4 linked regions of the Sus scrofa genome follow. The protein of the gene in region 4 purifies or fractionates together with the protein of the main gene of each other region. This does not show direct contact. Links are inferred from orthologs where the notes say so. Each region holds a gene or a part of one and is shown on either strand. Other genes may lie near its edges.

Region 1 (5,180 bases), on a different chromosome or scaffold from region 4:
TTTTTTTGAATTTCATGAACCATAAATCTAATGCTATCTTCATGTCAACTTGAATTTCTTCCCTGCAGGTTACCTTTTTTAATCCAGTTATTGAAAGAAGACCAAAACTCCAAAGACAAAAGAAAATTTTTTCAAAACAACAAGGTAATTACTAAGCAATCAAATAACAAAGTGTTTTTGGTGTTATCAATATATTTTAAAATGTACATACCGTTTAAAAAGCGATACCTGTCTTTTTTTTTTTTCATTTTTGTTCAGTCATTTACTTGTCAGTTTTATTATGGAATACTTGAACCGTATCCACAAGCATAGAGACTAGTAGTGTCCCATCACTCAGCTTCAACAACTCAGCTCGTGTCCTCGTCTGTATTCTGTTTCTCACAGTTGCCTCAGATTATTTCAAGCAAACCCAGACATCATATTGATTCGTTTGTAAATGTCACAGTTAGTATCACTAAAAGAGAAGCATTTTTTTCCTAAACCTTTTTTTTTTTTTTTTTTTTTTTTTTGGCCTTTTGGCCTTTTATAGGGCCGCTCCCTTGGCATATGGAGATTCCCAGGCTAGGGGTCAATCGGAGCTGTAGCTGCCGGCCTACACCACAGCCACAGCCACGCCAGATCCGAGCCGCGTCCGCGACCTACAGCACAGCTCACAGCAACGCCGGATCCTTAACCCACTGAGCAAGGCCAGGGATCAAACACGCAACCTCATGGTTCTCAGTCGGATTCCTTAACCACTGAGCCACAGTGGGAACTCCTTTTTTTCTAAACCTTAACCATATATCATTACTAGATAGATGTGTAAAAAAAGAAGTGGTTCCTATCTATTTATTTTCAAAACCGATAGTGCTATTTTGCACTAGCCTTTAATAACAAATAGTTAAGAACTATTTTTTAAGTGACAAATTTTGTTTATTCTTCATAAATTATAACTGATGAATATGAATTTTTAAATTATGGCTTTTGGTAACATATTAAAGAATTACTTGTTCTGTTTCCTTTATTTACAATATCCACAGGCAAAACATTTCTCAGAGCTCCTCAAATGAATATTAATATTGCCACTTGGGGAAGGCTAGTGAGAAGAGCTATTCCTACAGTAAATCATTCTGGCACCTTCAGCCCCCAAGCCCCCGTGCCTGCTGCAGTGCCAGTGGTTGATGTGCGCCTTCCTGAGCTAGCACCTCCAGCTACGTATGTGTCTTAAGATTTTTAAGCACTGCTTTTATAAAATAGTTATTGTGATATTTGTATATACTGATTACTTTAAGTCTATTAAAGATCTCATTTTTTCCAAATAGTGTTTTGAAGTCAGTGTTCTGCTTCCTTTTAAAGCAGTAAAATGGTTTGCTTTAAATTTAAAGCTGTTTAAAATACATACTTTTGATTACTGCCTTCGGTGAATTGCTTTATCTTTTCTAAGTGATTCCGCAGTAACCAAATTGGACTTTGATCTCGAACCCGTACCTCCTCCGGCCCCACCACGTGATTCTTCCCTCGGAGAAGTAGATGAAGCTGCTGAATTAAGAGATCTGGATACACCAGGACAGGCAAGGCTTTTTTTTTTTTTTTTTTTTCCTTCTTCTCACTTTTTAGGGCCACACCTGCAGTATGTGGAGGTTCCCAGGCTAGGGGTTGAATCAGAGCTACAGCTGCCATCGTACGCCCCAGCCACAGCAATGCAGGATCCGAGCTGCGTTTGTGACCTACACCACAGCCCATGGCAACACTGGATCCTTAACCCACTGAGCAAGGCCAGGGATCGAACCCACACCTCCTGGTTACTAGTTGGATTCATTTCTGCTGCACCACAACGGGAACTCCAGGCAAGACATCTTAAACCTATATAATTCCTTTTCACCTAATGAATTAGCCAGTAAAAGCATCATAGTCAATAAGAGGTGCATTTCAGTTAAAAATAGCTGTGTGGACTGTTTTTTATGATTCTTGTGAGGGAAACATAAAAACCTCTGGATGCTCGTGAGCCAGTTGGGGTGGAATAGGCCACCTAACCTGGGAGCATGGGAATAGGAATAGGCTGCCTGACCCGGGAGCGGACCGCGGCTGATAGTGAACGAATCACTGCATCTTCTAACTAGATTAACATGGTTTCTGAAAATGCGTTGACGATAACAGTAATATGGAAATATGGTTGATTTACAACATTGTGTTCTGGTGTGCAGCATAGCGATTCAGTATTTTTGCAGAGATCTGTTCCGTCGTAGGAGATTTCAAGATGACGTGCTCTAAAATACATCCGTGTCGCTTACCTGTTTTATGTAGTAGTTTGTATCTGTTAATCCCATTCCCCCTAATTTGCTCCTCCCTCTTGGTTCTCCCTCTAGTCACCATAAATCTGTTTCCTAAATCTGAGTCTGTTCTGTTTCTGTTTCATATTTAGATTCCATGTGTAAGTGCTATCATATAGTATTTCTTTCTCTGTCCAGTTTATTTCACTAAGCATAATATTTTCTAGGTCCATCCATGTTGCTGCAATTGGCAGTATTTCATTCTTTTTTATGGCAGAATAATATTCTGTGTGTCTTGGGGAGGGGGCACATCTTCTTAAACCCACGGCCTCTTGATGGGCACTAGGCTTGCTTCCACGTGCTGGCTGTTGTAAATAGTGCTGCTGCACATTGGGGTTCGTTAAGCTTTTTGAATTAGTGTTTTCGTTCTTTCCAATGTATTTTTTTTTTACATTTTTTAAGTAAAAGTAGTATAGAATTAGTAACGACAAAAATGAATATCTAATATCTGAACTTTATTTTGTGATATTTATATTTACTTTTAACTTTTTAAAAACTATCCTTACCTAGTAAGTTGTTTCCTGAATGTTTCTGTGATTTATTGCGTGTTTAATGTTTTGCAGGATTCAGAAACTCTTTTTGATACTGAGAATGACAGAAATAGTATCCTTCCAAAGTCTCAGTCTGAATATGAACCTGATATTCCTCAGTCGGGCTTAGAATATAGTGGTATTCATGAACTTGAGGACAGAAGGTAAAGGCCATATACCCAGTGCTGTGGCTGCATGTTTGGTCCCATATTTGCGCCTTGTTTTTAATTGACATTACTGTTTTCAGATCTCAACAGATGTTCCAGTTTAATCTACAAGACTTCAGATGTTGTGCTGTCTTGGGTAGAGGACATTTTGGAAAGGTAATCTTTTAAATTTTCTTGGAATGCCTACAAAAGTAATAACTCAAATGAGAAATAACTATTTTAATCTCATTTCAGGTGCTTTTGGCTGAATATAAACACACAAACGAAATGTTTGCTATAAAAGCCTTAAAGAAAGGAGACATTGTGGCTCGAGATGAAGTAGACAGGTTAGTTTTTAAAACATGAAATTGTTTATTTTTCCAAGGTTGCAACTTAATGTCATGAAAATCGTGTATATATTGCAACAAAAAGTTTATTTTCATGATACAGTGGACAGTTGAGCAACATGGGTTCTTTTTTTTTCCCCTTGTTTTGGCCACCCTATGGCATACAGAATTCCCGAGCCAGGGATTAGATCTGAGCCTCAGCTGTGACCTACACTTCAGCTACAGCAATAGTCAGATCCTTTAACCCACTGAGTCAGGCCGGGGATCGAACCTGCATCTTGACACCGATGACCCTGGTACACCACACTGGGAACCCCACAACGTGGGTTTCAGCTGCATGGATCCACTTAAATGTGAATATTTTCTTGCCTTTTTTTTTTTTTTTTTTTTTTTTTGGCCTCTCCCATAGCATGTGGAAGTTCCTGGGCCAGGGATCAAACCCATGCCACAGCAGGGATCTGAGCTGCTGCAGTGGTATCTTGAGATCCTGAACCTGCTGAGCCACAAGAAAACTCTGAAACATGGTATTTTTCCGTAGTACATGGTCTGTGGTTGGTTGATCCACAGATAGGAAGAACTGCAGATACAGAGGGCCACCTATAAATTATGCATGGGTTAATTCCCATGCTCTTCAGGGATCAGCTGTGATAAGTAAAGAAACTAAATAAATTAATGCATAATTAAATACTGTTTTTCTTTCTAGCCAACTCCTTCTTCCCCTTCTTATGGCAGTTTGCTCATGAGTGACACCAGGGAAAGATGATGAAATGTTTAAACTAATTCTGATAAGGTTTTATACTTGGAAATGTTTATGTGGAATAGGAACTGTTGGACATCTGTGGTTAGGTGAAGCCATTTCCCATTTCATATTACAGAAGTAATGAGATGCCATGTTCAAATAATCTTCCGTTAGCTGCATGGCTAATTTATTCTGCTTTTTAAAATGTACCTGGCACATGTTTGATCCCTGGACCAAGAAATTCCACATGCTGTGGGAGCAGCCCTCCCCCGCTCCAAAATGTAAATACACCCATAGGAGCTCCCTGGTGGCTCCGCAGGTTAAGAACCTGGTGTTGTCAGTGCTGTGGTTCGTGTCACTGCTGTGGCATGGGTTCAGCCCCTGGCCCAGAAATGTCCTTGTGCCACAGGTGCAGCCAAAAATATAAAATAAAATAATAAAATGCACCTATATCTATTTTTCCTCTCTTTTCCTTAAAGTGATGTTTTTTGACTAAAGCATCTGACCATTCTGGGTATAAATTGATGGGGATACATTTCATGGACAGCTATTAAAATGTCAGTACTTTGCGGGTTATGTTTTACTTAGGTTAGAGAATATACCTTAAAAAGGCCGGCATGAAATGGAATGGTTATACGTGGAAATTATTACATAACCAGTGGCATATTTATTACAGAAAGAGGCTTTCATTTGCTATTTAGAAGTAGCAGTGTTTTTCTTAAACCACTGGGAAGTATCGGTAAATATTAATGGAAGACAGCCCTGTGTAATGAAAACAACTTGGGACAACAAGTGAAAAGATTTCTCTATCCTGATTGTTGCTTTTTAATTGATATTTGACCCAAGCATGATTCATTAAATGTCTTTGGACCTCAGTTAGCCCACATATTTTTAAAAGACATGTTTTTGTAATAGTTTCCTTACCAAATTGTCTTAAGTGCCATGTAGGTATATCAAATTACTACTTTTAATGTTTTTTCCCTGATACGGAGAGTCCTTAGAATTAGGCTAGATTGGGAGTTCCCCTTGTGGCTCAGTAGTTAACGAACCCGACTAAGATCCATGATGTTGCAGGTTCGATCCCTGGCCTTGCTCAGTGGGTTGAGGAT
Region 2 (5,180 bases), on a different chromosome or scaffold from region 4:
GGTACAATCAGGTGTCTGCCCAGCCCCTTCCCACTAGGAAGTGTGGAGGACAGGCCAGAGGGCAGGCTCTCAGCAGCCGTTTTGTACAAATACGTGTCCTCTTGTGTCCTAGTCAAATGGATTAATACCAACTGGACCCTGATAGCAAGTGGACCAGGAAGATCTCAGTTACGAATTGAGCTGGTCTCTAAAACGAGTCGTAAGGGCCTGGGAAGGAGATACGGTGAGTTACGTAAGAAAGAAAGCAACCGGACAAGCCGAGAAGCCAGACACAGAGTGTCCGCTCCGCATTCATCTGCTTTTCCAGCCATGACGGGAACTCCGGCTTTTCCAGTTTCTAACGCATTCCTGAGCCCGGGTGCCCCAAGTTTCATACACTATCCCTGCACCTTTACAGAACATTCCTCCCTTCGCTGCAGGTGGCCTGAGCAGGTCTCTGTGCCTTGCTGCCCAGAGAATCCTGACGGTCTGAGGCCTCGGGCCCAGGGACGGCAGGTGAGCGCGTGGGGACCATACTCACAGAAGTCGCTGTGCCTGCGCTGGCGGTGGTAGGTGGAGGAGGAGCTCCGCTGCCCTTTGCTGTGGCTGGTGCCTTTGCTGGAGCTTGTTCCATTGGTGGTGTCGCTGGGCGCCCGCACCCGTGCCAGGGCCAGCCCCGGGGCGCCCCGGTCCCCACCCTCCTGCATGAAGATGACAGACAAGGAACCTCAGCCCCGACCCCTCTGGCCCAGAAGTCCCTCCACCCTGGGCATCGCGCGTCCCGCAGGTCCCTGACGCCTTCTGACCTCAGTCTTCCTGCCCAGCAGGAGGTAGGTGGCGGTCACTTCGTTGTACTTCTGGCTGGTCAAGGCCTCTTTGATTTCTTCCCGCGTGTAGCCCATACCCACCATCACCTCTGGGAGATGGGGATGGAGAGGAGGTTCAGTCTCCCCATATCCTTCCTTTCCACTTGTTTCCGCATCTCGTACTAATGCCTGCTCTTTGCCTGTCCAGTATCTACGCCCCCCTTCTGCCGGCAGCACCCTGATTTTCCTTGGAAGAACATTCCTCCCCTGCTCAGATCTGGCTGACTCCTGCCTGCTCCAAGCCCCAAGGGAAGGCATATATATAGAGTCCAGGTCTGGCCAATCAGAGTGTTCCATCCCCAAGACCAAAGTGATTGGTTTGGGGGAGGCCTATGACCCAAGTCTGGCCAATCAGAATGCTCCACACCCAAAGCCACACTGATTGCTTCAGAGTGGGCATATGACCCACTTCTGGCCAATCAGAGTGTCCCGTCCCCAAGGTCAAACTGATTGGTTCAGGGATAGCCAATGGGCACCACCAAGGGCTTCTTCTGGAACATTAGGAAAGTGGCTTCTCCTGTTGAAGGGGGTTATCCAGGCCACCAGGACATGCTGTTGCCAGCTTGCTCCTGGGAAAGAAGTAACCACTGAGAAGATACCCAACAAATGTTTCTGAGCACCTGGAACCAGCTATGCCTGAAGGCTGATATACCCTGGCCTTTTCAGTTATGAGAATGAATAACATCACTATTAGGTTAAACCTTATGAAATTGCTGGTTTTGACCATTTTTGAGCTATAAGAATGGCAATTTCATATGGTTTAACCTATTACTATCCAGCTTAGGCCCGAATGACTTGGCATTTCTGTTACTGGCAACCATGAAAGTCCTGATGAACACGGCCAGATAACGGTGTCCTCGGTCTCCTCATCTGTACAAGGAAGGCAACTGGAAGGTTCCTAACGGTTCTTCCAGGGCTACTGTGTTAGGGGTCAAGTGTTGGACGGCTCCAGGCTGAGGGGATTGGGACCAAAGAGGTGGTGGGTGAGGCACGTGCCGAAATAGCAGTTTTCCTCAAACATGCAGGTTACTGACGGTTTTGTCCAAGCTCTTCTTGGACAAAAGTAATCTGTGATTTCTTCTGTCTTAGCGGTCAAAGCTAACATACCACACAGCACTGGTTACCTGACTAATATAACTACGTAAATTGCTTTATGTAAACTCATTCACTTAACATGCATAACAAACCTATGAAGCAAAGTTTTCTGACTATCCCCTCTTCCAGATGAGGCAACAGAAGCACAGAGAGGGGAAGCCACTGGGCCAGGGTCACACAGCTAGAAAGTAGCGGGGCAGGACTCGGAGCCCAGACTTCTCTGCTCTCCCTAAGGGCCTCGCAAACTTCTCCAGGCACTAAGCAAAGCGGTAAGTGCTGGGAAGCTCCCCCTGCCCCAGCTCTGAGGCCTGTGGCTCCGCTCTGCGTGACCCTCACCAATTCGTTTGGTGTCCCCGAAGTCCTCCTCAGGCTCCGTGTATGGCTTCAGCTCCTCGCCCTCGTAGCCGATGTTGATCCACTTGTCTTTCATGATTTGCTGCAGGAATTGGGAGCCGGCCAGAGATGGACAAAGAGAGATGTCAGAAGGCCCGGGAGAAAAGTGAGCTCCCCACCCCACCCTGCTGCCTGCCTCCAAGGCACAGCACCCCAGAATCCAAGGCTCCTTGAAAGCGGGCACCTCCGAGCCCCACCCTACCCCCAGCCGGAGCCTCCCGAAGCCGCCCTTCCTCCTCCGCATCATCTGGGTGCCGGCGCCCTGTAATCTTCCTAGCAGCTCATTAGCTAATTACGGGCATGTCGGGGAGTGGGCGAGGCTTGGGGGGGGCAGCACCGGGACGGGTCTGGGAGCCTTTTCCCGGGGCTGCCTGTCTCCCCTCCCCTTCTGACAGCAGATCAGCCCCCAGCAGGGTTAGGGTCTGGCAGGACAGCTGCGATGGAGGGGTCGGGGCTCAGCTCACCTCCAGAGTACAGCGTTTAGCTGGATTCAGCACCAAAAATCTCCGCAGGATGCTCTCACAGTCTGTTGACATGTAGAAAGGGACCCGGTACTTCCCTCTGAGGACTCGCTCCCGCAGCTCCTGGGGGGATGGGGTTACTGGGGGCAGGTCCACCCGGCCTCCTCACTCACTACACACACCTTTCTCCTGATCCCCCAACAGAAGTGACAGGAGCTCCAGGTCCCAGCCCCAACGTGTGGGGGAAACCTCACCACTTTCTCTTGACCTCAGTTTCCATCTGTGAAATGGGAATGTTGTACTAGATGCAGTAGTTTTCAAAAAAAAATTTTTTTTTAGTTAAAAGAAATTTTTTAAAGTAATAGAACTTTTCACTCTGAGGACATCTTATAGAGCAAGTGAATTCCATAAGCCAGATAAGAGAGCAGGTGGCCGGGCGGGTCAGCCTCTGGGGCCTTAGTTTCCGTGTCTATAAACTGGGACCACAGCACCAGCTTCCCAGGCACGAGTGAGTTTGTAGAAGTTAATGCCAAGCACCAGTCACGTGCAGAGCAAGTGCCTTTTAAATATTGGGTTTACAAAACGGGAGGAGAGAGGGGAGCCCTGCCCCGGCCCCCATCCTAAGCCTGGTTTTCCAAAAAAGCTCCCTGCCCCAGCAGTCTCAAAGAATGAGCACTGATACATATATATATACATATATATTCTGCCTTTTTAGGGCCGCACCTGCGGCATATGGAGGTTCCTAGGCTAGGGGTCAAATCAGAGCTGCAGCTGCCATCCACAGCCACAGCCACGCAGCATCTGAGCTGTGCCTGCACCCTACACCACAGCTCACGGCAACGCTGGATCCTTAACCATCTGAGTGAGGCCAGGGATTGAGCCCACGCCCTCATGGATACGAATCAGGTTTGTTACCACGGAGCCACGATGGGAACTCCAAGAGCACTGATTTATGTTGACTTTTTTTTCTTTTTAGGGCCGCACCTGTGGTATATGGAGGTTCCTAGGCTAGGGGTCGAATCAGAGCTGTTGCTGCCGGCCTCCACCACAGCCACAGCAACGCCAGATCCCAAACCACTGAGGGAGGTCAGGGATCAAACTCGCATCCTCATGGACACTATGTCAGGTTCTTAACCTCAGGGGTGAGCCACCATGGGCTCCTTTTTTTTTTTTTTTTTTTTTTTTTTTTTTTGGTCTTTTTGCCTTTTCTAGGGCCGCACCTGCAGCATATGGAGGTTCCCAGGCTAGGGGTCTAATCAGAACTGTAGCCACTGGCCTACACCACAGCCACAGCAACTTGGGATCCGAGCCGAGTCTGTGACCTACACCACAGCTCACGGCAATGCCAGATCCTTAACCCACTGAACAAGGCCAGGGATCGAAACTGCTCATGGTTCCTAGTCGGATTCATTAACCACTGCACCATAACGGGAACTCCTATTGACCTTTTTTTAAGGGCCAAAACTATGAAAGAAAAAATAAATTCCATGCTCCACGGCATGGCAGACCAGGGAGAGCCCCTCCATCCTGAATAAGGGGGTGTGGAGTTCCCCAGTCAGTGCAGTGGGTTAAGGATCTGGCATTATCACTGCTGTGGCTCAGGTTCGATCCCTGGCCCTGGAATTTCCGCATGCCACATGCATGGCCAAAAAAGGAGAGAAGGAAGGGAGGGAGGAAGGTGAGAGAGAAAGAAGAGAGGGAAAGAAGGAAAGAAAGAAAGAGCAGGGAGGAAAAGGAGGGAGGAGGAGGGGAAGGAGGGAGATACGCAGAGGGCGTGAAAGGAGGGATGTGTTTCTTGGGCGGAGTCCCCTGCGGGGGCCTGGGCTGGGAAGGAGCTCCCTCTGAGGGCCTTCTCCTAAAAGGGCTGGATGAAGCCTATGCCTGGGGAGCCTCCCTCTGCAGGTCATCACAGCCCGCAGCGTGGTGAATATTTAATAGTGATGAGTATTGCTTCCACGGTACTCGGCTGGTGTGGGCAGAACTCTAAGCGCTTTATACTAGGTTTACAAGGATGCTGTGAAGCAGGTGCCTATTTTCCAGACAAAGAAACTGAGGCCCAGAGAGGTTATATCACTTGCTCTGAGGCTGTGCAGCCAGGAAGGCGCAGGGCCAGGGCTCAGAGGCAGTCTGCACTGTGGCACCCCCGCTCCACGTGACGGTGAGAGGCACCCCCAGGCCACTGACACCACCACCCAGAGCAGCTCCCGAGGGTGACACCCTGGCCAACTGCCAGGTCCCAGGGAAGGGCCTTACGCATGCGGTCTGGCTGTATGTGTCCCCATCTTATGTGCGGGGAAACAGAAGTTCAGGAAGGGGCCTGTCTGAGGTCACTCAGTAAGGACATGACAGAGCAGGGATCTGTCCCCAGCTGCTCGTCTCCTTCACC
Region 3 (5,603 bases), on a different chromosome or scaffold from region 4:
AGCAGCACTTGCTGGCCGTGCCTGGGACCCTGTGGATGGCAGGTTTTGTGCTCTCCTACAAGCTGGGTGAGTAGGGGCGGGAGCCTGGGGGAGCTCCAGGTGGGTCCCCATGACTATGGGGCCCATTTGTGGGACTGCCTTCCTTCTTTCTGGAGTACGACTTGCAGGCTGGAGCCCAGTGGCCTCGCTTCTTGTCCGGCAGGTCCAGCTCCACAGCTGTTGAGCTCCAGCCACACTGCCCCCTGCCAAAGCCTCTCTACTCCCTGCTGACCCTGAGCTCAGCCAATGCCCAGCCCCAGCTTCTGGCACCTGTAGCCTGAGGCAGAAGCAGGGTTGGGGAAGCACAATGGAGAGGGAAGCAGGCTGCCCCTGCTGATTTTCTCTTTGCAGGTGAGCAGGGCACCAGCAGCCTGTTCCCACTCCTCCTGTTGGACTGTGGCGTCTCTACCCCAGAGCTGGGGCTGTGGAATGGCGTGGGCGCTGTGGTCTGTTCCATTGTGGGCTCATCTCTGGGTGGCGCCCTGCTGGCCAGGCACCGGTGCGTCCCCCTCAGCTTGCCCTGCCTGCCACCCCCCCACCCCTACCTTCCCCACCCCCTCTGACCTACCCAGTCTCCCCACCCCAGGCAGCCACTGCCCCTGTTGAGGTCACTGCTTCGGTTCCGTCTTGGGGGCCTGGCCTGCCAGACTGTCTTGGTTTTTCATCTGGATGCCCCTGGGGCCAGGGTGGGCCCTGGCACAGTCCTGAGAGGTGAGAGGTTGTCCATGGGGGGAGGAGCCTAGAATCCTGAGCCCTGCTGACCTCAGCACCCCCAGGGGCAGCCTTGCTGAGCCTGTGTCTGCAGCACTTCCTGGGAGGCCTGGTCACAACCACCACCTTCACCCTGATGATGCGCTGCAGCCAGTTGGCACCCAGTGCCCTGCAGGTGAGGGTACGTGGCTGGGACATTCGGGCCACGGGACTGGAGTCCAAGCAGGTCCTGACTGATCTCCACAAATCTCCAGGCCACACACTACAGCCTCCTGGCCACTCTGGAGCTGCTGGGGAAGCTGCTGGTGGGCGCGCTGGCCGGAGCCTTGGCTGACAGCCTGGGGCTGCGCTTCTGCTTCTTCCTCTTCCTCGCTCTCTCAGCCACACCCATGCTGTGCCTAGGCCTTGCACCCAGCACGCTGGCCTGAGCCGGGTGGCTGGCCTTGTCAATAAAGTGGAGTGGACCCGAGGCCTGTGTCTGGACTGAGATGTGCTTGGTTGTCCTCAGACTGTGGGGTTGTCCCCACTGGAAGGAAGGTCCCTAAAAAAGACGTGAGCATCTTTTATTCTGCTTTAAGGCCTCCTTGCCCCCGCGCCCCGGCAGTAGGCTTTGTCCAGAGGGGCTACACAGTGTTCTGGCCGCCGATGCCTCATCTCTGCTGTGCTGACACGGTCCCCCCAGCAGGCCACTCAGCGGCCCCACAGCAGGATCTCCTCTGTGGCCAGGTGCATCAGGGCGTGGAAGTTCAGGTGCAGGTATTTTCTCCAGAAGCGCCGGTCCCGCCCGTACACCTGGGCTGGATAGCGGGGACTCCCTGCGGTGGACAGAGATGTGGCCCTGGGGACTCTGGCTGCCAGCCCCTGCCTTTCTCCAGGCTGTGCCTCCCAGGTCCTCACCAATGCCGTGGAAGACGCGGGCTACAGCCCTGCCTGAGAACTGCTGCTCAGGCCACGAGGACAGCAGGTGGCGGATGTCCCGTCGGATCTGAGCCTCCCAGTCCTGGAGCTGCCCGTGGGGGACACATCAGTCTTGCCGCGGCACAGGGCAGGGAGTGAGTGTGTACCCGTGTGCGCACAGTGCACGCACGCTCATGCCTGCCACGGCCTGACCTTCCCTGGAGATCCTGGCACTCACCGTGGCCTGGCCTGGCTCGGGGCCCTGCTGGTCCATGCCCTCTGGACCTGCTTCCTCTTCCTCAAAGTAGCGGCGGAGCAGGGCCTTGAGCCTGCCACTGCGTTCCTCATCGGGCTGCTCCAGGCACGGCCCACAGCTGGGGAAGGCCACGCTGGGGTGGCATGGGCTAGTTAGGTCTGCCCACCTGGGGGTGGGTGGGGTGGCCCAGGCCCCGCCCACCTCCTCCAGCACCTGTGAAAAGCCCAGTAGGTGTGGTGCAGGCGGGCCAGGGCTTCTCGCTCTCGGGCCTGCACGCGTCCATGTAGGAAGTCACAGATCTGATCCTTCTCCTGGGCGGTCAGGTCCCCGGGGGAGCGCAGGTGGAAGGCTAGCACCTTGAAATCCACTAGCACCCCCGTGCCCCGAGGCAGACCTGCCAGACAGGGTGTTAGACATGGGCAGGTGGGCAGGTAAGCCCACCGCAAGCAGGGCTGGGGGGCAGGCGCACCTGTCCTGGGCTCCGGGTCCCACTGTAGCTGCCGGAGGGCCCGCCGCACGGGGGCCAGCTCCCAGCCCATGGAGTCTGCCAGCTCCACCACATCGAACTCCACAGAAGCTGTGTTCTCAGGGCTCTGCTGGGCTAAGCACGCAGCCAGGGGAGGACACCTGAGCCAGGGAAGGGGGCATGTGATCGGAAGCCTGGTCCTTGGTCCCTGTCCCCAGCCCAGGGGGAAGTGTAGTCACCTGCGGGCCAGGGCCTGGAGCTGGGTGGGGCCCCCAGGGCAGCGCAGGTGGCAGCGGGCATAGGTGGGTTCCAGCAGCTTCAGCCAGCGCTGTGGGTGCAGCTCCAGGTAGCAGAGCAGGGTCTCAATGGCTAGGGGCAGAGCAGGGCTCAGGGGACGTGGGGACATGGGGACGCCCCGGCCACACACGGCCCCTGTTTCTCACCCTCCTCGGGCACATCCAGGGCCTGCACCATTGGCTGCACTGGGAGTGCCCGCTCGTGGCCCGGGCACCGGGCTGTGAGCTCCACGTGGGGGTGGTCGGCATCCCAGGGGACTGTGGCCGCCGAGCTCTCCTGGCTCTCGCCTGGCTCAGGCACCAGGGGCTGCTGAGCGTGGCCGCAAGCAGGGAACACGTGCTGCACCAGCTTCTTCACGGCGAGGAAGTCGATGGCGTCGGCGTGCACATGTCTGCGCAGCTCCCACAGGTCCTCAGCCTGCAGCAGAGCAGCCACCGTGAACGAAGGGCTGCAGTAGGGGGGGGCGCTGGGCAGCTCCAGCGGGTGGATGCTCACCTGGGGCCTCAGGAAGAGGTGGCAGTGTGCGGGCTGCCCGTCGCGCCCAGCCCGGCCCACAGCCTGCACGTAGCTCTCGAAGCTTGGGGGCAGCCCCAGATGAAGCACGGCCCGCACGTCTGGCCGGTCCAGCCCCATCCCGAAGGCAACCGTGGCCACCACCACCCGTAGCCGGCCCTCCATGAAGGCCCGCTGCACCCGCCGCCTCTCCCGGCTGCACATGCCTGCATGGTAGGCTTCAGCCACGGCCTCTGGGGCCCAGCCTGCAGGGAGAGGCACAGATGGTCAGGTGGGGAGCGTGCCTACAGCGGTCTTGTGGGGCACAGCCCTGCCCCGCTACCCCAACCTCCGGGTCCCAGGGCCCAGGTCTCACGCAAGCAGGTGCGCAGCAGGGCAGCGACACGCTCGGTGTCCTCTCGCCTGTTGCAGTAGATGATGATAGAGTCCAGGGCACAGAAACGGTCACTCTGCAGCAGTGTCACCAGAGCCTGCGAGAGAGCACGGTCTGTCTCTGCAGCCAGGCAGCAGGACCTTGGCTGGGCCCCTGTACCCACTTACCTGGTCTGGGTCCCTGTCCATGGACACAGAGAGGTGCAGGTTGGCAGGGATGGTGCCTTGCCCCCTGAGGACAGACTCTTCAGCCACACCCAGGTGCTGAGCCACGTCGAGGGCAGTGCTGCGCGTGGCCGTGGCCGTGAGACCCAGGAAGCAGCTGACACCCACGCGTTCCCGTAACACCTGCGTGGAGGCGGGTGGTAAGGACAACCACCCCACCTTCCCTGGCCCACTCACCGGTCCCCTCAAGGCTTACCTTGCAGACTCGCAGGTAGCAGGGCCGGAAGTTGTGAGACCACTGAGAGAGGCAGTGGGCCTCATCGATGCAGGCGAAAGCAACCGGGGGCAGCTGGGTGAGGAAGGCAAGCCCCGCTGCTCCTGCCCCAGCCAGCGCCTCTGGCGACAGCATCAGCACTTGTACCTGGGCTGATCGAGCCTGAGGGTGGCAAGGTCAGGACAACTGCACAGGGCCTCCAGGGGACTGCTCCCTCTGCCCATCTGGCCCTTAGGCCCCCTTACCTTCTGCAGGGCAGAGTTCCGCTGCTTCTTCGACATCCCTGAGTGGATGCAGGCCGCCTTCAGGCCTGGGGGCAGGCCAGACACCTGCAGATACAGGAGCATGATGCCACCCACCCTGGCCCTTCCCCACACAACTCTTAGGATGGTTTGGCCTGCCAACCACTGCTCTCTCAACTTCGGGCCCTCTGAGGAGAAGAAACCTAGATCCTGGGTCCCACGACTCAGGGTTCAGAGCCACCTGCGGGCCTGATGCAGGAGCACCAGGAATAGACAGGTAGTGGGGGGGGGGTGTCATTCCCCCAGTGCCGTTCCTCCTGTTGGGGGGCCTGGGGCTGTGAACAGCCAGGCTCTCTGCAGCGCTGGGTGGGGCAGAGCAAGAACCAACAGCCCAAGTAGGTTGACGGAGCGGTGGCTACCCATTCTCACCTTCTGCATGTGCCCAGGGGCCCTGTCCACCCACCTGGTCATCCATGAGTGACATGAGGGGAGAGATGACCAACGTGAGGCAAGGGCTTCTCCGGGAGTAGAGCAGCGCAGGGAGCTGGTAGCACAGAGACTTGCCACCCCCTGTGGGCAGCACCAGCAGTGTTGACATACCTGGATGTTTCTGAGGGTCAATAGTGCCACCCTGTGGCCGGCCTTGGCCCCACCACAGCCCCCTGCCAACCAAACTGACCAGACAGGATCCGCATGACCACGTGCTCCTGTCCAGGGTTGAAGGCTTGGTGCCCCAGCTGCTCCAGGGCCTGGAACACCTCGGCTGGGGTGTCTGCAGGCACAGGTGTCAGGCGGTATGGCCCCGAGACGCCCCCACCTCCTCAGTAAAGGCACTGGGATGGTAGGTGGCTACTCACCTGCCACCTGCCCTGACGGTCCCAGCGGGTAGAGTGGGGGCACGGGAGGAGGTGGTGGACAGGGCGCCCTGGGCATAGATGACTGCATGGGCACTGACAGCTCAGGCCCTGCAGGCTCTGTGTCTTCCTCACCTGCCAAGAGCAGACAGGACAGGGTAGCACAAAAGCTCCAGGCTGGTCTGGGCTCATCCCGGAAAGGAGGCCACTTGCTCCAACCTCTTGTCCGCTCCTTCACGCACCAGGAAGTTGGCAGCAGGTGGTGCCCGTTCTCTGGGGTACTTCCTCTAACATGGGCAGAGTCCCTGTGTCATCCTCATCCTTGCCACCCTCCTTCTGAGGGGCAGGCTCTGGACCAGAGGTAGGGAGTTAGTAGGGCTTTTTGCTGGAGACAGAACTGCCTCCCCTTCCAAGCAGTGTGGGCTCAAGCAACCACCCAAGGCAGAGGCCTCACCTGGTTGAGGGCACTGGGATGCCCAGTGACCGAGCTGCCCACACCGGAAGCAGGAATCCTTGG
Region 4 (5,626 bases):
ACTATTACACCTAAAATGCACACCGTACATATTTGCCAGAGATGATAAACATATTCTGAAATCAGGTTTACCAAATGGTTGTCTTTGTTTCCCCATTAACACTATAGGGAATCTAATCCATCTATGAAAGTGCATTCAAAATGTGAGAGGCTTTCCCTTTTCTTTTCTTTTTACCCGTTGAATATAATCCACTTAGTCCCCATCTCCAAAGCCCCTCCCAAATAGTGGCGGAGGTTGAAGGGAGCGCTCTGGGAAGCCCTTGCTGAGATACTTAGCGGAACTCTGTTCTCCACGTGGGCTATTTAGGAGGGTCGCGGTTTCCTCGCGTGACACCACCTCCTCCCTGGTTCTTCTCTCGCTGCAAACAGAAGTCAGGGTGACGAGATAGATTCTCGCTTGCAGTCCGAGGAGGCGCTGACCATGGTCCTGGCCTCCGAGCTCGGGATGCGAGAGCGGAGGACGACAGAGGGGATGCGCTGGAAGTGTACGCAGGGCGCGGCGGGGAGCTGTCGTCTAGGCCCCCGCCCCTCCCGACCCCCGGGGAACCCGCCGGCCTTCACGCGAACCCTCCACTGCACGCTCTGAGCTGCATCAAAAAAGGGTGGGGCAGCCAGACACAGCTGCAATCGGAAGCTGCCCGGGAGGATTTAAGAAGAATGGAACCTCGGCCCATCCCCTCCCCCTCCAACCAAGAGACCCCCCAGCCGGGGATAGGCCCATCCTTTACCCCTACCCCCACCACCCAGGCCCAGGGAAGCGCGGGGAGCCTTTGTGGGCGCACAGCCGCCCACCGCCCAGCCCGAGCTTCTCCGAACCCTGCACGGAGAAGGGGCGGGTAGGGTGGGGTGCTTGTGCACATGCAGGGAAGCGATATTCGAGGTGGGGCAGGACGGTGGGCACGCTGGGATCCTCGGCTTTTCACCGAGCTGGAAGGGGCGCGAGGGAGGGGCGAGCCCCACGCTCCGTCCTGTCTCGAACACCTCCGCCCCTCCTCCATACCAACCTGGTCGTTGATGTTCTGCAGGGCTTCCTTACCGGAGGCCCGCCGGATCTCCACCTTCCGGCCCGATTCAACAGATGGCTCCCCGCCGGCGCGCCGACCCTGCCGGGAGTACGGCGGCTGCGGGTCCGGGCCCAAGTGGGCGACGTCCCGCTGCTGAGCCACCACCTGCCCCGAGCCCCGGCCCACCGACAGCGAGTCGAAGTCGATGGTCTTGTTCTCCGAGGACCCTTCCACCGGGCAGAACATGCCACAGAATTTCTGTCGAGGCTTGGGGCTACCGGAGCCCAGGTTTTTAAAAAAGGCAGGGACCTCTTCGTCCTCTGCCGCCTTCCCGGATTGCTTCCTCTCTGCCATGGCTTGGGGGCTTGGGGAGTGTCCTCTCTGTCCGTTCTTTCCTCAGCGGGTCCCTAAGTCTGCCTGTCTCTGTGCAAAAATCCCCCCCGGCTGCTGCCTCGGCTGCTGCTCTCTGCCTACCGCAAGGTGTACAGAAAGGAACGAGGGCTGGCGAGCGAGCGACCCACCCCTCCCGGTCCCTCCCCCTGACCCCGCTTTCTCCCCTCCCTGCCCACGCCCCCCGCAGCCTCGCGAGCTCCCGCGAGCGGCAAAGTTGGGGTTGGGAGGGTGGCCGCTGCGGCAGCAAGAACCGAGAGGCTGCCAGTTACCAGCAGCGGCGGGAGGTGGGGGGAGGCGCGGGCGGGGCGGGGGCGGGGCGCGGCGCTGGGGAGGGGAGCTCAGCGCTGGGGAAGCTGGGGAGGGCCGCGCCGCCCAGACCCCACGCTCCGGAAGTGAAGCGGCCAGACCCCCGGCTAATGGATGCGGAGCAGAAAGCCCGCTGACCGCTCTCGGCCCCAGGGTAAGTATGGGGCAGGGCACGCTGGGGCGAAGATCCGAGGGCGCCATCCCAGGCCCCCGCTCCCCTCTCCCCGAACTGCCCGGCCCAGGCACCTCTCTCCCACCGCAATGCAGAGCTGGCCCAGGGGCGAGGGCCCACTGTGTGGAGGGTTCCCTCCCCCTTACCCGAGTGCGAGCTAATGGATAGGAAAAGGGGCAGAAACTGGTAGACTCAGGACACTCAGCGGGAAGGTAAGGGGCGGCACTCAGGACGGAGAAAGGATGGCGCAGGCTGCGCAGAGTGGTGGGGGCCATATAGGGCGCGGTCTATCCATTGGCCTTGGTGGGCTACTGGGAGCAGAGATTGAAACAAGTTCCTCATTTACTATACCCACTGTGGTGGGGGGCGCGCAGCGTGGCGGAGAGAAATGCAGAGAGGCATAGCAAATGCGGAGGAAGTCGGTATATATAGAGAGAGACATAGGTCCACGGTCTGTGGGAGTGTAGCAAAGAGTGTAGTCTGCAAATTCCAGCCCAGCGCGGCAACTTGGATGTATAGTGAGAGAGGGAGCAGACCGCTACACTGGCGCGCCGTATACCGTAATTGCGCCACAGCGCCAAGAAAAGCCCAGCAGAATGCATCTTCCCCCGCCCCCAACCCGGCAAAGAAGGGAGAAAGACATTCTTTGAAGCCCACTCCCCAAATCTCCAGCCCTACCCAGCGCCCAGGGCGCCCCGCCTCATTTCCCCGCCCTGCTGCGCACTGCGCCAGAACCACGGGGTTTCCTAGGTTGCCAGAAGCCTCGTGCCTGAGGCCTTCTTGCGCGCGCGGCCAGTGCAGGGTAAGGAGATGGGGTGCCAGCTGTGATGAGTGAAGAACTGTGTGAAATCCAGCAGGAGAATGAGGTATGGGGACATGGTGTGCATGCGCCAGTAGACTAGCCACAGCCACCACCGGTTTAGTGGGCATCCAGAGGGCATTTTAATGTATGCCAGTAACACAGTCTCTGAGGGCTCTTTATTACTTACACCTATCCCTCTGTCCTTTCCACGTCTCAGTCCCTGCCCATGATTGATTACAGCCCTGCCTTTCTCTCTTCAGTGGCAAAATCCTGCAGAAATGATGCCCATCCTTTGGCTGCTGGAGAAGGAGCTCTGGGCATGCTCACTAAGCTGGGTGGGTTGGACTGGAAAACACTCTACCATAGGAGTGTCGTTGCTGGGCAGAGTAACCAAAGATCCGATCCCATTGTCATCCCTCACCCCTGGAAGGGTTAAATGTGGATACCCTGCCTCTCCCAATTGTGATGGATAGTTTGGTAAATGGAGTTAAATTCTGAGGACAACCAGTCCCAGTTTGAAGATAAGCCCACCATGATAGGTGGGAAGGCATCTGGGGATGAGAAGGAGAGGAGGAGGGAGGAGAGAGGAATTTACATGTGCAGGGGATGAGAGAACCAGAGGCAGGCATTTGGACTGAGCACCAGATGTGCTTCACATTTGAATAAAATGCTTCCACACGAATCACGCCATTTCCTACTGCCAGCAGCCCCCTGAGATGAGTGTTTCATTGTCACCACTTCCCAGGATTCCAGGGTAGAAAACAGATGTAGAGGCTTTGCCCAAGGTAACTGTCTAGTTAAATGATCCAGCAATTCCAGTGAGGTCTTCCACCTGGAAGTCTGGTTCCTTTTTGACCTTATCCTGTCTTTATAGGAGAAAGGACAAGATTTTCACATTTTCCCCTATATTCAAATATTTCCATCTGTGGCTTTATTGTGTGTCAGGAATGTTTCACTCGCCTTTTATTTTTATTTTTTATTTTTTTTAACTTGAAGGTAGGTTGCATTGCAGGTAGAGACTGGTTTTGGAAGAAGAAGACACCCAAAGATAGCCTAACTTCAGCATGACCATTATTATGTAGACCTTAGAGCTGTTTCTTCCTGGGTACCCAGTGTCTTTTTCCACCTTATGTTTCCTCTATTGCAACAGGGAGGAAGGTCACTCCCACGTCTTAGAAGAGGAACAGGAGGCATGATGAAGTCCCTGGGTTCAGATCCCTGGGGCTGCAGGGCAAGGACGTGATCCAGCATTTTGCCCTTCTGACCCTCTGGCACATGCCCCACTTTCAGCACCTTCCAGAAGGACTCAGGAAATGTGCCTGCAGCAAGAACAGCTGCCACTGTAGCTGCAGGTTGGCATCTGTGGCATATGGACCCCATTTGGAGTGATGGAGATTTTTAGGGAAAAAATAGTTGTGGCACCTTAACACACACTCCACGATGCATGACAGCAACGGGATGATAGACAGTCTTCCCTTTTTACATTATTCAGTCTCCACCGGCTCACCACAGATGTGCCTCCTCGATTTTTCTTTGTCCTCAAATCACCCATTCAAGTTCAGATGCTATGAAGAAAGCATCATGTTACTAATGAAACATTTATAGCAAGAAAGGCCCCTACTTGTGCATTTTCAAAACCTGACCAGGCATAACCATAGGGAATTCATAATTCCAAGTTTAACTTATTTGGTTCTACAAGTTTTTTCTAATTGTTAAACCTATATTAAATTTTACCTATAATGTTATATTAAAGTGTATTATATGTTATATTTTATACCTGTGTTCAGTTGGTTTTAAATGTTTGAGTGATTTCTGATTGGATTTTTTAATCAAAGAAATGAAGCAACTCACTATTGTTTAGTAGATTTAATTAAATTGTGAAGGATTGCCATGTTTTGGAAAAAGTGTATTAACAGTCTTCACTTTGGATATCATTAGGTCATAAAATTACACTACAATTATATTTATACAGGACAGCGTGGCTTGGCTGGCGCTGAGAAACACCCAGACATGCCGTTGTGTGGCATGGAGTGACATCTTGTGCTAGAAGCTGAATACATAAGCTCCTTGGCTGTCATGGGATGATTTGAAACACATAAACAGGTATCTGGCCACATCTCCTGATGTCATTCTGCATGTGGGAAAGATCTTCCTGTCCACAACTAGGGCTCCATTAATCTGCATGCCTGGTGAGCATAGGGTGGGAAAGCCAGCTTGCAGGAAAGTCCCCAAGAGAACAACAACAAAAAAATCACTATAAGCAAAGAAGAGGTCTGACTCAAATACAGTGTGGGGCAGAATCCCTGGTTTACCCTCACTTCTGTCCCTAACCAGGTACAGGTGCTTCCTGGGAAGGAGAAAGCTGTGTGGTAAAACTGGCCATTGTTTCCCCAAGAGCCCAAGCCACGCTGCTGGGAGACTTCCCTCCAGGAGTTCTGGGTGCCTGAGTGGAGGCGTCTCCCCACCTGCTAGAGTGGTGAGGTGCCAGAGCCCCAGAGCACTCTGAAAGCAGCTGCTTCTCACTTTTCCAGTGGGGCAGTCCCACCACGTGGCTTCAGGAGGGAACCGGCTCTGGAGACACAGGCGGGGGCTGGGGTGCTGTCCTGAGATACTAACTGCTCACCTTGGGTCAGGTGTGGAGACCTAACAGAAAGAGCCGAGTTCTGGCCACTGGGCAGTAAGGGTTATTGTTCCAGAAGCCTCTGATGCTGCTGTTGGAATGACCCAGCACCCATTCACTGGTGGGTTATCAGTTGAGAAGCACATCCAGGATCTTCTCAATCCTAAGGCAGTCTCTATTGGCCCCACAAACTGATCCGGTACCCACACTTAGAGCGAGTCAATATCTGGGACCATGGCGCGGGCACTGTTGGAGGACTGGTGTAGAATCATGAGTGCAGATGATCAGAAATCACTGATGGTTATGGGGATACCGGTGGACTGTGATGAG

Evidence for each region.
Region 1: the proteins of PNMA2 (region 4) and PKN2 purify together in Homo sapiens (affinity purification with mass spectrometry; 3 studies listed by BioGRID and IntAct, with this or other methods). This does not show direct contact. The link is inferred for Sus scrofa from reciprocal best matches to the Homo sapiens genes PNMA2 and PKN2.
Region 2: the proteins of PNMA2 (region 4) and MARK4 purify together in Homo sapiens (co-immunoprecipitation; 3 studies listed by BioGRID and IntAct, with this or other methods). This does not show direct contact. The link is inferred for Sus scrofa from reciprocal best matches to the Homo sapiens genes PNMA2 and MARK4.
Region 3: the proteins of PNMA2 (region 4) and RECQL4 purify together in Homo sapiens (affinity purification with mass spectrometry; 3 studies listed by BioGRID and IntAct, with this or other methods). This does not show direct contact. The link is inferred for Sus scrofa from reciprocal best matches to the Homo sapiens genes PNMA2 and RECQL4.

What each region holds. Positions count from the first base shown.
Region 1 is NC_010446.5:127,601,215-127,606,394, reverse strand, and holds part of PKN2 (serine/threonine-protein kinase N2), read left to right. Parts: intron 1-68; coding exon 69-144; intron 145-1,019; coding exon 1,020-1,194; intron 1,195-1,423; coding exon 1,424-1,550; intron 1,551-2,872; coding exon 2,873-3,003; intron 3,004-3,086; coding exon 3,087-3,162; intron 3,163-3,240; coding exon 3,241-3,332; intron 3,333-5,180. UniProt on the Homo sapiens protein: PKC-related serine/threonine-protein kinase and Rho/Rac effector protein that participates in specific signal transduction responses in the cell.
Region 2 is NC_010448.4:51,681,922-51,687,101, reverse strand, and holds part of MARK4 (MAP/microtubule affinity-regulating kinase 4), read right to left. Parts: intron 2,918-5,180; coding exon 2,798-2,917; intron 2,377-2,797; coding exon 2,277-2,376; intron 896-2,276; coding exon 786-895; intron 681-785; coding exon 521-680; intron 1-520. UniProt on the Homo sapiens protein: Serine/threonine-protein kinase. Phosphorylates the microtubule-associated protein MAPT/TAU. Also phosphorylates the microtubule-associated proteins MAP2 and MAP4.
Region 3 is NC_010446.5:289,323-294,925, reverse strand, and holds the end of RECQL4 (ATP-dependent DNA helicase Q4), read right to left. Parts: coding exon 5,541-5,603; intron 5,437-5,540; coding exon 5,329-5,436; intron 5,222-5,328; coding exon 5,090-5,221; intron 5,005-5,089; coding exon 4,912-5,004; intron 4,833-4,911; coding exon 4,696-4,832; intron 4,320-4,695; coding exon 4,236-4,319; intron 4,153-4,235; coding exon 3,973-4,152; intron 3,900-3,972; coding exon 3,720-3,899; intron 3,650-3,719; coding exon 3,535-3,649; intron 3,425-3,534; coding exon 3,162-3,424; intron 3,084-3,161; coding exon 2,813-3,083; intron 2,739-2,812; coding exon 2,609-2,738; intron 2,531-2,608; coding exon 2,373-2,530; intron 2,298-2,372; coding exon 2,117-2,297; intron 2,037-2,116; coding exon 1,886-2,036; intron 1,780-1,885; coding exon of another isoform or gene 1,757-1,779; coding exon 1,648-1,756; intron 1,566-1,647; coding exon 1,441-1,565; 3' UTR 1,298-1,440; downstream 1-1,297. Other genes in the region: MFSD3 (major facilitator superfamily domain-containing protein 3), read left to right, coding at 1-66, 391-538, 626-750, 816-931, 1,005-1,178. UniProt on the Homo sapiens protein: An ATP-dependent DNA helicase which unwinds dsDNA with a 3'-overhang in a 3'-5' direction. Does not unwind more than 18 bp of dsDNA. May modulate chromosome segregation. The N-terminal domain (residues 1-54) binds DNA Y-shaped DNA better than ss- or dsDNA.
Region 4 is NC_010456.5:10,424,480-10,430,105, reverse strand, and holds the start of PNMA2 (paraneoplastic antigen Ma2), read left to right. Parts: upstream 1-1,716; 5' UTR 1,717-1,856; intron 1,857-2,591; exon of another isoform or gene 2,592-2,740; intron 2,741-3,826; exon of another isoform or gene 3,827-4,028; intron 4,029-4,648; 5' UTR 4,649-4,779; exon of another isoform or gene 4,780-5,010; 5' UTR 5,011-5,530; coding exon 5,531-5,626. Other genes in the region: DPYSL2 (dihydropyrimidinase-related protein 2), read right to left, coding at 1,004-1,357.